Astyanax mexicanus: one gene and its partner. The protein of the gene in region 1 purifies or fractionates together with the protein of each later gene. This does not show direct contact. Links are inferred from orthologs where the notes say so. Each region holds a gene or a part of one and is shown in the gene's direction. Other genes may lie near its edges.

Region 1 (7,404 bases):
CGTGGACCATCCGATAGCGGAAGGGTGGTGAACAATACAGGAAGGCTTTCGGGTGTGTTTGGGGTCAGAGCCAAAACAGTTCCTGGTTTAGCGTGCACTGCACAAGTCTAGTAGGGGGCTAGGGGGAGACCTTCCTGTCAGCTGACCCACTGACTTCCTGTCTGAGGCTGGGTCTGTGGGAGTGAGAGTGTTTATAGTTGTAAACGGCTGCAGCAGAGTGGAAAGTGACTTCTGTACACTGAAATAGACAAAGGCAGTGTTTTATTATTCTCACAAGGCTAATAATGGAGTATTGGCTTTTGGAGTATTTGGGTTGGATTTTGTTTGTAAATGATAAATACAAAACCCAATGCCAGACCATGTTTTACTTTCAGTGCAGGATCTCCATTCACAATGCTGTGTAGTTCAGGACAAGGTTTAGTACTTGTCTGGGAAACTGATCCTAAATTTCCAAAGATTTGTTCTACAGTCAAGGGTGTTAATATGAGATTTGACCAGTGATGTCATGAATACCTTAGTGTTACTGTAATCTGAATTTTTTTTCCAGTACCAAATAATCTAACGCATTACTATTTCCAACCCAGTAATTTACTTATCCAAGTCACTGTGCATTACTTTCTCATTTTTCTTAGTAAAAGATATTGTACTGTCCGGCTGGACGCATTGAAAGGATGGGTGAGAAATCTGTTTACAGTCATTTCTTTATTGCTGGAACTTACAGTGGTTGCTGTCGGCCGCAACCACACCAAAATAACAACAGGCTAGCAAGCTAACAAGCTAACAGGATAAAACTAGCACTCTGGCTTCAAAAACACAACGTCAAATTTGAAGAAACGCTTGGAGCTGCAGCCGCACACTTAGAACAAGTCCCAAAAGTGAAGCGAAGCTTCCATTAAAGTGAGTTTTGGCAAAACTGTTATGTTGCAGGGTGTGTGTGTGTGTGTGTGTGTGTTGAACCGGCTTAACTAATACTAACATTATGGAAACGTTAAAAAATAACGTTCTCAAAACAAAAAATTAAGAGATGTTGCAGCGACATTACCAGAATAATTAAAATTTTAAATGAAAATGTTGCAAGAACATCCAGAAAGATTGAATGTTTTAAGAAGTTCAGAAAACATTATACTAAACTAAAATTTGTTGACTGGGTACCCTGATAACAAGTCGAGCTAAAGACCAAGTTTTCAAGTGAATATTTAAAAAGCTTTTTTTCTGCTTGATAAACATAAAAATTCATATTGTTCTCATTGTACATGGCAATATCTATGAGATTAACATTAATATCTAACCAATAGCATTTATTTTACTCAAATCATTAACACACAGATGCATTATATTGGACCATTGACTGCTGGCCAAATGTGGTCTATTTGTTTTTTTATATTTTTTAATATCGCAATATACACTATATTGCCAAAAAGCATTTGTTTACTAATCCAAATAATTTAACTGAGGTTTCAATCACTCCGTTCTTAGCTGGTCAACCAGCACGACCAAGGTGGTCAATCAGCATGACCAGCTTTTGTTTGACCAGTTTCTGTTGCTGGTCATGCCGATCAATCGTATGGTCATAGTGGTCGATCAGCTTGGTCTTGCTGGTCATGCTGATTGACCAGAGTAGTTTTGTTACCATGCTTGGTCAGGTTGATAATGCTTGATAACCAGCTAAACCATCAAATTAATATAAAAATAGAATAAAATAAAAAAATACCCAATGCTAATCAAGAGCTTGGTTGGTCAACCAGTATACCCAGCTTGGTTCCCCTGAGCTGGCCAGGCTATTTTTGTAAAGGGATTCTTCTCTGGGGAAAGATTTTCTTTAAATGTAGCAACACTTCTGTAAGGATTTCATTGTAGTCAGCCACAGACACATTTATGATTAGTTTTGGATCACTTATCAATGCTGTTCCATTACTGCAATGAACTATAGCATTGCATTGCTCTGAGGCCAGAAGCTGGGGAGCATTATCCCTGTCTAGCTGATGCTTAGCATTGGGCATTGTGACTTAGGCTCATGTGCAGGTACTTCAAAGCACCCCAGTCTATTAGCAATGCTAATTTCTTACTCTTTCAGGAGTATCTGGATCATTTCATCATGTAGTGTATATGTACACCATATTGAAGTATATACATCATATTTGTGAACATTAAGACATATAGAGGACTGAATAGAATATACTAGAATAGTTTTTACATTGGTTCTTTATGCATTTCCAGCAAAATGGCTTTGAAAGGAAAGAAAAAAGAGGCAGGTCTGGATGTGTTTGAAAAAGAAGTGTAAGAGAGCTGGGTAGACGTGTAGGGGGTACAGGGGCCCCTCACTGAGGCCTCGTCTTTCACAATGCCATCAGTAATGGCTTCCAGACTCGGCCAAAATAAATTGATTTGGAAATATGACAAAACCAGGAATCCACAAGGGCCTTTTCTCATTTGGCAGTATGTGTATGTGTGCATGCATGTGTATATATAAGCCTGGCAATGTCTTCCATTTAGGTAGTAAGTCCATTCTGCACTTTTACAAAACTTTGCATAGGTGTGTGTGTGTGTGTGTGTGTTTATTGTAAACACTAGGAGAAAATTGTATTGTATTGTTCTAGATCTTGGGGTGCCCACCCTGGTCCTAGGAATCAGAGAGCTCTAGCTCTAATCTAACACACCAGGATATTCAATTTCTACAGGGTGTTGAACTCCAGCACCTGAACTGGGCACTGCTGTGCTGTTCCATGCTGTAATTGCCGCCAGATTAAATTGATTCCACACTTTCCATGTTCTGGATTACCGTTTACTTACCTCCCCAACTCCTGGTCAACAGCTCTAATGGTTCTCCAACTTCAATGTCTTCAAATCAACATTACCTTCTAATCAACAATTAACGTTCTCCATATGCCTTTACCTCTCAGTTCCTCTCAGGAAAGCTGCTTTGTCACTATCTTGACTGAGCTGAATTTAATTTAAGTGAAAATGTAAATTATTATGACTGTTTTCAGATAATTACACTATTAAAAGACATGTTTCAAAATGTGAAGTTTTGCCTTTAAACACGCTTACTCACTTGAATAGCTTTTTGGTGCTTCTCAGTAGTGACGCTGTGTGTATTTGTAAAGAAAAGGACATGAAGTCTCCATAACAGTTCTTCTTAAACTATTATTGAACTGTACAACCAATCCTAGAACAATGTTTTCACAAGTGGATAAGTGTTCTTCTGTTACATGGCTAAAGTAGTTGCAGCAGTTACAACAGTTTGTTCTCTCAGCCTAGTACTATAGATAGATGCCCACTTGGATTTACGTTATGTTTGTGTTTACACTCATTGAGTGCTGAGTAAATCCAAGACTTTGTGGAAAGAATTCCAAAAATGTGTACTGAAACAACTATATACCAGCAACAGTCTTTGGCTTTTGAAATTGTTGTTCATGACTGTCTGTTTGGTCCTTTTCTTTTTCTGTCCAGTGCACAGAGCGTCTACTTCTTCCAAAAATAGATCACAATACATGTTTCAACTGTGTGATGGCACATCCCATGTCACTCCTCATTGTAGTGCTTAACAATGGTTATGATTAGGTTGATCAGCTGAAAGATGGTTCAGTGATCTTGGGTGTTCAGCTAAGATTTGTGCCTTTATGCACTGAAGTTCCTCCTGTTTCCTTGAATGGTTGTATAATATTATGCACTGTAGATGGATGAAATATTTAAAATTCTGCTAATCCTTTGTCCTTTTTGGCCCAATAACTCAGGGATACTGCATCTCTTTTTTATGTACCAAATCATGATTACATTCACCTGGGCATTTACCATAGGCAATACAAAGTTTTTGGGTGAAACTCACCTGTGAACATTACCTGGAGCTGTTGGCCCATATCTGTATGTATGCATTGCACTGCTGCAACATGATTGGCTGGATTAAATAATTGTATTTTTGGCACAGCCATTGCTACAAATCTTAAAATGCATCAGGTTGTCTATACTTAACAAAAGAAGGGAAGATTTGTAGCTTTCATAGTTACAGCTTGGTACGATGGAAAGGCAACACGGCTACAAGAGAAGTAAACCATGAAGAGAGAAGGGAAGAAAGAGGGTAACTAATAAAAAAATAAATAAAGGAGAGCAGAATAAAGAGAATCAGGAGGAGGATAAGGAAGAAGACAAAAACAGAGAGTTGGATGCAGGGGTGTGGTGGAAGGAAGAGAAGTGGAAGGAGCTCAGATGACTTAATTAGTGTACTGTCACTCCAGCTACACTCCTCCCTCTTCCACACACACACACACACATGCGGTCATTGAATAAGTTCCCCTATGAAGTCACTTTCCCCTCCCTGCTCTCCTGAACTACAACAGCCTCCAGAGCCAACTAGTGTGTGTGAGATAAAGAGAGAGAGAGAGAGAGAGAGAGAGAAATAGAGAGAGAGTGTGGCTCCCACTCTATCACCCTTTCCTCCCTGACATTCCAGTGCAGTTGAGGGATTGAGTGCTTGGATACAGGCGCAGGAGGGAACACAGAGAAAGGGAGACAGGGAGAGAGAGACAGACTGTGAAAGAGTGAAAGAGAGAGAGAGAGAGAGAGAGAGAGAGGGAGAGGGAAAGAGTAAGAGGAATTCTCTCTGGGCTGGACTTTAGTTTGGAAACTTTAGTTTGGAACTTTTTGCTGCTCCTAAAGCATTCAGAGCTCACACTCATTCCTCTTCTTCTTTTGTCTGCTCTGCAGAAATCTCCGGCTTTGGGAGTTTGGGAATTTCGTCACTCTAAAGCCTCCAGTAGCCACAGAAGCATCATCTCTGGAAGTTTCTCCTCTTCTGTGGTCTCTGGACTTCTGCAGGACTTTAAACAGAGCTGGAAATTGCTGGTCAAGCAGGAGCAGAGCATTGTGTCATCAACACCAGGGTGAGTTGATATTGTTTGAAAGCTTTAATTTTGGGCTGAAGAAGAATTGGATGTTCTTGGATGGCTCTGGATGATAGAGTATGACATCACTGTGTGGGTTCGGTTCATGTACAGTCAGTTTTTTTTTTTTTAGCAGAGTGGTTCTTGATGCAGAAGATATAGATAAGATGACACTTTATTATTTATTGAGGGAGGAAAATAAGAAAATAATAAGTGTTCTATAAGCGCACACACAGACACATAAAAATATAAGAGAATATAAAAAAAGAATAAAATAAAAAATATAATTTTCTTATACCAGCATATCATTACTGTACAATGAAAAACAAGATTCTTATTTTTTTTAGTTTTCTACATAATTTGAACACACAAACTGTTCTTAACACTTGCAAATTTTCTGAAATAAATTACATGAAATTAACTCTTTTTACATTGACTTACATTAAAAGGTTTATCTCCATCATTAAAAGTTGCAGTTTTGAAGATACGTGTTTTTAATTGGACAAGGTGTTTAAGGTAGTTTATTAAAAGTTATAGTATTATATATATATATGTATATATGTATATATATACATATATATATATATATGTGCAGTGAGAACAGATTTGAATGAGGTACAGGTATCAACAACAATAATATACATACATAAATATAAATACAGTACAGTTTTGTGTGCGCAAGAGAGAACTTAATATGCAAATAAAGCTGATTTATTAATATAATAAATTAATATAGTAAAGTAAAAGCGTCCAGTGCAGATTATGATGATTGAATAATTGAATATCAATACATATATTAGAGCCCAGAGTTATGCAGTCAGTGCACAAACAAACCACTATTAATTCCACTAATCACCTTTCAATGAATGTTCACAAAAGAACAACATGAGATATATTAGCAATAATGGCATATAATGTACAGATTCTGCACAGATTGAAACATTTCCAAGAACTTCATATTCCATAAAATGAGTGTAGGAACCTTTATGTTTCAGGGAGTTGTGAGATGTGATGGATGTGATTAGGTGTTGTTAGAAATATGGTGTAAGATGTTAAGAGGGAATCTATAGTAGGTTTGTGTGTGTGTGTGTGTGTGTGTGTGTGTGTGTGTGTGTGTGTGTGTGCAGATAATCTGGGAATTGTGAGATGGGAGGAGAGAGAGTAAGGTGGAGCACTTCCACCAATAGCTTGTCTAATTTCTGCCACTGTGTTGAGCCATATTTAGAACTCCATGCTGTTTTTGGAGGACATACAGCAGCTTGCAGCATTTCCTTATGCTTGAGTGATGCTACTCCTGATTGTCTGTATAATGGGTGGAGCCCTTATAGCTGGATTTATGATATGCTGATTACAAATATATGTACTTATTAAATAAGGCAGTTTTGCAGTATATATGATACAAATATATACTAGAACTATACATCATATCAAAAATGGTTTGTATTTCAGCAAGATCATGTAGCATAGCAAAAAGATATTTACCCTAGATATACACTGTATATGTTATGCAGTACAGTTATATAGCATAGCAAAAATTATATATATATATATATATATATATATATATATATATATATATTACATGAAAAATATTGTGTATCACACTTATAAAAAAAAGTCATTTTATTATTATTATAATATATATACTATATTATCACATACTGTAATGAAATGCTATGTATTACAGTTATATAGCACAGCAAAAAGATATATGCCATAGGTATATAACATACCAAAAATTTTACATATTGCACTTATAGAACACGGAAAAAGTTATACTCCATAGTTAAATGCATCAAAACATAATTTATTTAATCTATATATCGAAAAAAGTAAATAATTTATGTTAAATAATAAGCCATACTAAAACTGTTATTCTAGTTTTGTAATGTAGAAAGAAGTTATATGGCATGTGCTGCGTACATCAGAAATATTATGCATCAAAGTTAAATATTCTATATGTCAGAACGTTACCAAAGTAATATACCGTACCAAAACTGTTATGTATTATAGTTGTTTAACATAGAAAAGAGTTGTACTCTAGTTATATACATCAGAATTAATATGTATGAAAGTTATATAATTTAACAACAACTTAATATACCATAGTGGTTTTCTATATCCAAAAGCCATGCATTATAGCTATTTAACATAAAAAGTTATATACTCTATTCATATACATCAGAAATGATATATATTAAAGCTATATGCCAAATCAAAAAAGCATAATACCATTTTACCAGTTTATACATCAACTGTGTTATGTATTACCATATATTTAGTAATAACATTGAATACCATATTGACAGTGTTATACAATATAAAAAAAGTTATTACAGTTATAAAATATAGAAAAATAGAACTTTCATATATTACAGATATTGATTAAAAACATTGCATACTGACAGTGCATATTGACAATGTTGTGAATTGCAGTAAATACCATTATTATGTAACATTATTATGTACCATAGTTATACACTTTTATTATTTAAAATACTAGTAATATATAATAGTTTATACCATA
Region 2 (7,736 bases), on another chromosome or scaffold:
AGGAAATGGTTCTGTGACTATCAAAACTATTTTTGGTACTATACAGAAGCAATTCTATATATAACCCCTGGCAAGAAATATGTAATCACCACTCTTGGATCATGTTCTTATAATTGTTTCATTCCTCAGCAACAAATAAATCACAGAGACATGACACAAAACTCTCTTTTTTCAAAACCCCAACCTTCTGGAGTTTTAAGAAATAAGGAAAAAATTAATCACTTAATTCTGAGGAAAATCTTATAGAATTACGAGGAAAACCACTGCACCATTAGTACTTTGTTGCACCATCTCTGGCTTTTATAACAGCTTGAATTCTCCGAGGCATGGACTGAACTAATGACAAATAGTATTTTTCATCAATCTGTTTCTCTTTTATTGCTGCTGCCAGATCAGCTTTGCAGTTTGGTGCCTTGTCATTGACCATTTTCTTCACCAGAGATGTCCAACTGGTTTGAGATCCGAACTATTTGAAGGCCATGCCATTGACATTAGATGTCTTTCTAGAAGAAAAGTTGTCATGTCCTTTGTTATCTTGAAAAAAGTTATCATTACCATACATCCTTTCAGTTGTTTTGATAAGAATGTAGACTTTGCCATTTATTGAAAATGTAATGACTGTCATATCATCTGGGTCTTTACCTGACATGCAGACCCATATCATCAATGACATGCAACCATTTACACTCCATGATTGATTTGCTTTAGCCCACTGAAACCTTGTTCTTTTCAGTTTAGGTGTTAATGAAGCTTTACTGTATGTGATCCACATTTCTTTTAGGTCATTTCTTACAGTTCAGTCACAGATTGATTCCAGTTTTGAGACATTGAGTCCAGTGAATTTTCTGTTGTTGCTACAAGTTTTCCATCTTGAAACCTCAATGCCTTTCTTGTTCTACCTGTATGCCTCTCATTTACAACCTTCCCATTTTGTTTTAGACACATCTGGCTGGGAACAACCAACATCTTTTGCAACATTCCATGATGATTTAACTTCTCAAGGAAGTTTATAATCCTCTCCTATATTTCAACTGACATCTTTTGTTTTTTGAAGCCACGATTCATGTCACTCTGTTTTGTGCTACAGCTCTCCAAGGTTTCAGCACTCTTTTTTAACTGAAGACTAATTAGCAGATTTAATATTATGACAGCGTGTTTGATTTAGAACTGTAAATTACTGAGATGGTCCATGATATTTTCTTCAGAATTGAGTGATTCCATATTCTTTCTTCTACTTGGTCTAAAAGTAAGTACAAAACATTTTTCAGAATAACAGAATGTTATAATTTAGAAGAAGGATAGTTTTGTGAGATGTCCCTGTGATTTATTTTTATTTCTAAAAAGTTGGAAAAAAACAATTGAAATAACTTCATCCAAGAGTGGTGAATTCCATAATTTTGCATAGCGTTGTAGAATCACTGTAGAATGTTCTCTGAAATATACAAAAACATATTATATCTAGACAACGAATCAGTTAGCTATTCAAACAATGTTCATGGGTTAATTTTGAAACAATGCATCTAATGAAACAACTCTTGAAGAATAGATTTCTTTAAATAGAAAATGCTTAATCTAATATCGGTACCAAGAAAGAAATTATCCAGTCAAGTCTTGGTATGATGCAAACAAATTTTAATTTAGGAGTTTCCAGTGTTGGTATCAGAAAAGAAAAAGTACACCTTATTACACACTCTACACTTATTTACATATACAGCTCTGGAAAAAAATAAGAGACCACTTCAGTTTCTGTATCAGTTTCTCTGATTTTGCTATTTATAGGTATATGTTTGACTAAATTGAACATTGTTGTTTTATTCAATAAACTACGGACAACATTTCTCCCAAATTCCAAATAAAACTATTGTCATTTAGAGCATTTATTTGCAGAAAATGACAAATGGCTGAAATAACAAAAAAGATGCAGAGCACTCAGACCTCAAATAATGCAAAGAAAACAAGCTCATATTCATAAAGTTTTAAGAGTCATGAAATCAATATTTCAATTGATTTCAAATTCAAGCAGTTCAGTTTGGTTTGATGACTTGTGATCATCCTTATATTCCAGGTTTTTAATCTGTATACACAAAGAGCAAACACATCAGGGGGAAAAAGACTAAAAGCTGCATTTGACAGCATCAGCTCAAACATTCATACAAATAGTTGTGGAAAAAGTAAAAAAAAAAAAATATATATATATATATATATATATATATATATATATATATATATATATATATATATATATATATATTAATAACATTTACATTAGTTCTATACGGCATTTGCTGTGTAATAAATACTAAAATTACACTAAAACACATAAAGGTGGTGTCATAAGAAATGAAAAAGCCTGAGTTCTGTTCTGAAAACACAAATAAAAGATGATAAAAGTTAACCACGGTGTGGCGCTGCAGCTGAACTGAACAGTGTAGAGAGGCACGCGGACTGCAAATTATTAAGGGGAGACCCGAAGAGAAAGCGCAGTCTGACTGAAATAACTGACCCCTGTTTTGTCGCTGGTGGTAGTGATGATATTAATATCCTTACAGTCAAAATGTGTTTCAGCTTCGTTTAAAAAAAGCTCAAAAGGGTTTGGCAGCGGTGGGATTCGAACCCACGCCATCGAAATGACTGGAGCCTAAATCCAGCGCCTTAGACCACTCGGCCACGCTACCGCAGAGGAGCAGCGTTTGAACTCGGGCTTAAGAAACTAAGACCTGCAGATCATATTTTATAATCGTTAATAGTTCGTTTAAAATTAGTTAAACTTATTGGTTACAAATGTATGTGAGAATTTGGGATTTAGCGTACACTGATTTATTTATTATTTGTTATGTTTATTATTTGTAAGACACAGAGCTGAGGTAAATTCATTTACATAGGTCTTACTCACTGTTGTTGCTCGCTCGTTAAACAACCTAAGTTACCTAGAAAACTAAGCTAGTTAGCCAACCTAGCTAACGTTAACTATCTGAACTTAGCTAACGTGCTCCAGATGTTAAGTATGTCCTGTAAAGTTACAGTTTAACAGTTTTAAAAATATGTATAAATAGCAACGCTAACGGTGGTTGGTTAAATGATAATTCCCCGAAATGTCTTAAACTGTAACTTTAGTTATTCAGCTAGCTAGGTATGTTAGCTGCGCTAGCTAAGTTATCTAACTATGGCTACATGAATGGCGTTAATGGATTCTCATAGTTTTAACGTTAACTGGCTAGCAAACATTTCTCAACATTTATTTTCTGTGAAACATGCTCCAGACGTTAGCATTAGTCACGTCCTGCACAGTGTTAGTTTACTCTATGTTATTAACAAAGATAAAATTGGTTGGTTAAGTGATAATTAACCGAAACGTCTTAACCAGTAGTCAACGTGCTAGTTAGCTAGCGCTAGGCTATTTATGTTAATGTTATATTGATATAACTTACAGCTCTGAAAAAATCTAAGAGATCGCTACAGTCTCTGAATGAGTTTCTCTGATTTTGCTATTTAAAGGTATATGTTTGAGTAAAGTGTACATTGTTGTTTTGTCCTATAATCTACAGACATTTCTCCCAAATTCCAAATACAAATATAATCATTTAGAACATTTATTTGCAGAAAATGAGAAATAGCTGAAATAACAAAAAAGATGCAGAGCTTTCATACCTCAAATAATGCAAAGAAAACAAGTTCATATCAGAATTATTTAAACTGCCACACTGCCACACTCAAGTCTCCAACACTTAAAACACATTTTCTGCTTTACACACGTTTTGCAGTTAAAACAGCAGAACAATCTGGTGAAATGAATTAAGTGGGTGCTATTTTGTTCTGATTCTGATAATGCTACATATAGTTTTGTTTGCATTGCTTCATTTTGCAGGATATTTTAGGTTTGCAGTGTGGTCTGTGAATTGGGATAAATCAGCCTAAGTTACAAAAATAAGTAAAACTGTAAACCATAGTGAAGTGGCTAGGTTAGTTAGATATCCTGGTGGCTAATTGGGCCTTTAACTTGGGCTAAAGGTGCAAAACTGTAGCTTTGAAATTATGTTTTTATTTTACACTAAGAGAAAGGGGGACCTCGTGTTTACTTTTCACTTCTCCTAACACCACAAGCACCCCTGAGGTTTGGCATACGTATGTGTATTTTTGTAGATAGCTATGTGTGCTGCTTCTGTCCGCCTCTCCCTCTCTCTCTCTCTCTCTCTCTGAGTGTGTATGTGTGTGTTAGTGGGCGTGTGCGCTACGTGCACTCCGTGTACTCAAAGCATGGCGTGTACTCAAAAGCATGGCGCTGTGGACGGGCTGTACTCTAATCACGGCCTGCTTGTGTCGCTCACTGGGACCTCTGGTGGTCCACTGTTGCCAGCACCACTACTCCCCTATTAACAGTAACTATAATCCCTGCAGGAGGAAACCTGCACTAATAACACAGCGTTAATCTGAAGGCTGAGAGTGTTAGAGCTATGTATTCAGCTACAGCTCTAAACAGGAGTTTAAGCTTCGAAAAACATGCTTATGCTTATGGGGCACATCCAGACAACACTGTACTGTTTTATTATATTGGGTTTATTTATTTATTCTTTTGTAACCCTCACCAAGTCAGAGAGTGGGGGTTTGGTCCTCTAGAGGGCGCAGCAGGGTCATGGCAGGGTGACAGTGCAGTGGAGCAGGCTAATGTTACTGCCCCCACCTCCCTGAAAGTGCATTCAAAAACAGGCAGCAGGGCAGGCAGAGCTGCTGCTGCTGCGGCTGGGGGAGGAGGACACGTTGCACCTTTAAATGGGACGAGAGCTGTTTCAGGGATAGTCAGTCACACAGTGCAGCTGAAATTTCCCTTGAAACGAAGAGCTCAAATCAACAAGCGTTCACAGGATTTAACGCACCTGCACCTGGGCCTGGACAGCAGAGAAAGGAAGAGAAGAAGCTCCACCTGTGAACGACAGACATGCCTTCTTCCCGTGAATAGCCTGGTTTATACAAGCCAAAGGTAGGCGTGTAGCCATCCGCGTCCTCTTATGTTTACTTTAGATTGCAGCTCATACAATGACACATTGTGTTCTTTAGCTGGTAGCAGCTTCATTTCTGTAGCTCCACACAATCTGAACAGCTTTCCAGAACTAGCTAGGTTACACGAGTAGGGGTTTTGTATTTATTCCTGCTTGCTACTTTATGTTGATTGGCTCATTTGAGTCGAATATGTGGGGATTGGACAGCTAGTTTAACTAAGCTATTCAGATGCATATGGCAGTTAGCTAATACTGTTGCTAATATGCTAACCTTAGCTTAAAAACTCTATTTATATGTATATTTTAAAGCTGTTTATTCACATGCATGCTAGGTAAAGCCATTTAAGTTTACTATAAACAAAAATAAGCGTTTTCAATGTGTAGTTTAACCTACCTGAATAGGTGTTCATTTAGCTAAATATGTCACAGCTACGTGAACCTAGCTACCAAGACTTTCTGAGAGTTATTGTCATTCATTGTCCTGTTAGACTTGCCTAAATTTTGTGTTCATGTATGTATTTCAGCTGTCAACAATCCTGCAAGTTCCAGCCTGTCACTCACTCAATAACACCAACAACAACACCATGGCAGACGACGAGCTGATGTTCAGTATGGAGGAGGTGGGCAGCCTAAAAAGGAGTAGTGGTGAACGGGTTGTGCGTTTTGGACGCGACCCTTCAGTTGATGATGACGATGACGACTTCTATATCTGCCCCATCACTGATGACCCTGTCAGTCCTACTAAGGAAATTTGCGATTACCTCAAGAACATTGCCAACAACAGGCAGCTTTCTAACTCCCTGCCCAAAAACTCTTTCACTTACAAGGTGAGGAACATTTTATTTTGTATGTTTCATTAATGTGTTCCTCATGTCTTACGTATTTAATAGAGATGCGTTGACACATTAGGCGATCAAAACTGTTTGCCCGAAAACCGCTAAAAAACACTTCCACTGTTCTGCCAAAAAGACAGAACAATTTATACCAAACAACGAAGCTTTACTTGAATTTATTAAAAATATGTGAATGAAAACAACTTTAAATATATATATAAAAAATATTTTTTGTTAATTAAGTTGATTTTTCATTTATGAGAAGTTTTCTTGAAATATTAACCCATAAGAGCCAAGACACATTTCGGAATATTGATACCAAATCCAAAATGAATTTAATCAGATAAAAACAGTGAGCAGCTCGTTCATGTTTGTTTCTTATTGTGGGCACATGACTAAATATTTTGAGGTTAAAATTATGATGTAACATAAATGACACCACCAATTTCCTAACCATTTTTTCTAACATTTTTGTTCTTGAAATCAGGTCAGAAATAGTTCTAAGGAACGTAAAACATTGATTTAAGCATTTGAATAGTTAAATGGTTGTAACTGAGCTATAGAAGCAAGTAATGCACTTTTAAAAGGAGCTAGTTTTATATCCAGCACTAACCCAACACTCCTACATTCTATAAAAAAAAATAAGATGAGTTGCATAAATACCAGTTCACATACTGTTCTGTGATGTTAGGAACTTTACACATCTTTCAAAGGGCGTGTGACATATATATCAGCATGGGCTTTTTTGGGTTAAAAATAGCACCCCCTAGTCAGTGATGTATCTTTATTATGACACGTCCTTGTCAGTCACAACAGGTTGGGCTCTTTAATTTACATAAAATACAAAGAAGCCTTTAATGTAAGCTTTAGAACATATTACAATAATCTTAGTAGCATCTTATTGCTAATTAAAGGTGTTCCTAATGCTGCAATCCTTTCACAACATATTGTTTTTACAATACCGTTACAAATGGTCGTGCATTCTCTTGTACAATCTTTCTCCCATATATGGAGAAGGAGCCCTGTCTGAAACACATGCTTCAAGGGTAACCAGCAGCTGCTTCACTAAACCTTGTTTAAAGAACAGGAAGTCATGACACAGTGTTTTATCTCTGTGGGTAGGTTTAGACAAGCACTCAAGTCTCTCGATGCATGTCATGACACATGGTGTCCTGTCTTTTTATACATTTGGGTTTTGTTTAAGTCCTTCTTCAGCACAGTTAGGCTCTGAATACTGATGCATGCAAGCCTGGTCTTTTCAGATTCAGTTGTGGTCCATTTTAAAAAATCTAGGCATTGAAGTTATTTAGTATTTAGCAATCCTAATGTAGCTACTGTGTAGTTTACGTCTTTCTAACTCTCCACTGTGTCTACCTCCTCCTCCCCTATCTATTTAGAACAAAAATAAGGAGCCAGAGGTGCGATCGGTCAGGTTTGGTTCTTTAACTGAGAAAGGTCGGGTATGTTCAACATTCAAGTTTTTCAACGTTCAGTACTTTCTAGCCTCTCTGCACTGTTCACTTCTTTCTTTTCCCTTACTCATTAATCCATTCTTTCTCTGGCTTCCTTTGGTACGCATGCTGTTCCTTCACAATAGGAGTTCCACCCCCTTTTCTGCGTCACCTGTTCCTGCTCAGTGTTTTAGCAGCTTACCCCCCACAAGAAAACAACCATAATGAAATTAAATAAACCACTGAAAAGTAATCATGAAATCATAAATGTTGAATAATTATTATTTAGTAATAATTTAATTAATGTTTAGTGCTTAACATAGTATCATATATTTGTTTTTGGTCCAAATAATGATAAACCGATTACAGTACAGTCTGTAATGTCTTACTGAAAAATGTCTGGGCGCATGTACCAATAGATAAATGAAGGGATAGCACTTTCATACATTTGCATTAGC

What was found. Proteins that work in one complex are often made in the same cells at the same time.
Region 2: the proteins of hspa12b (region 1) and eef2k purify together in Homo sapiens (affinity purification with mass spectrometry; 3 studies listed by BioGRID and IntAct, with this or other methods). This does not show direct contact. The link is inferred for Astyanax mexicanus from reciprocal best matches to the Homo sapiens genes HSPA12B and EEF2K.

Annotation. Positions count from the first base shown.
Region 1 is NC_064415.1:19,784,671-19,792,074, forward strand, and holds the start of hspa12b (heat shock 70 kDa protein 12B), read left to right. Parts: upstream 1-4,380; 5' UTR 4,381-4,581; intron 4,582-4,701; 5' UTR 4,702-4,877; intron 4,878-7,404.
Region 2 is NC_064422.1:23,411,007-23,418,742, forward strand, and holds the start of eef2k (eukaryotic elongation factor 2 kinase), read left to right. Parts: upstream 1-4,661; 5' UTR 4,662-4,975; intron 4,976-5,518; 5' UTR 5,519-5,578; coding exon 5,579-5,821; intron 5,822-7,224; coding exon 7,225-7,287; intron 7,288-7,736. UniProt on the Homo sapiens protein: Threonine kinase that regulates protein synthesis by controlling the rate of peptide chain elongation.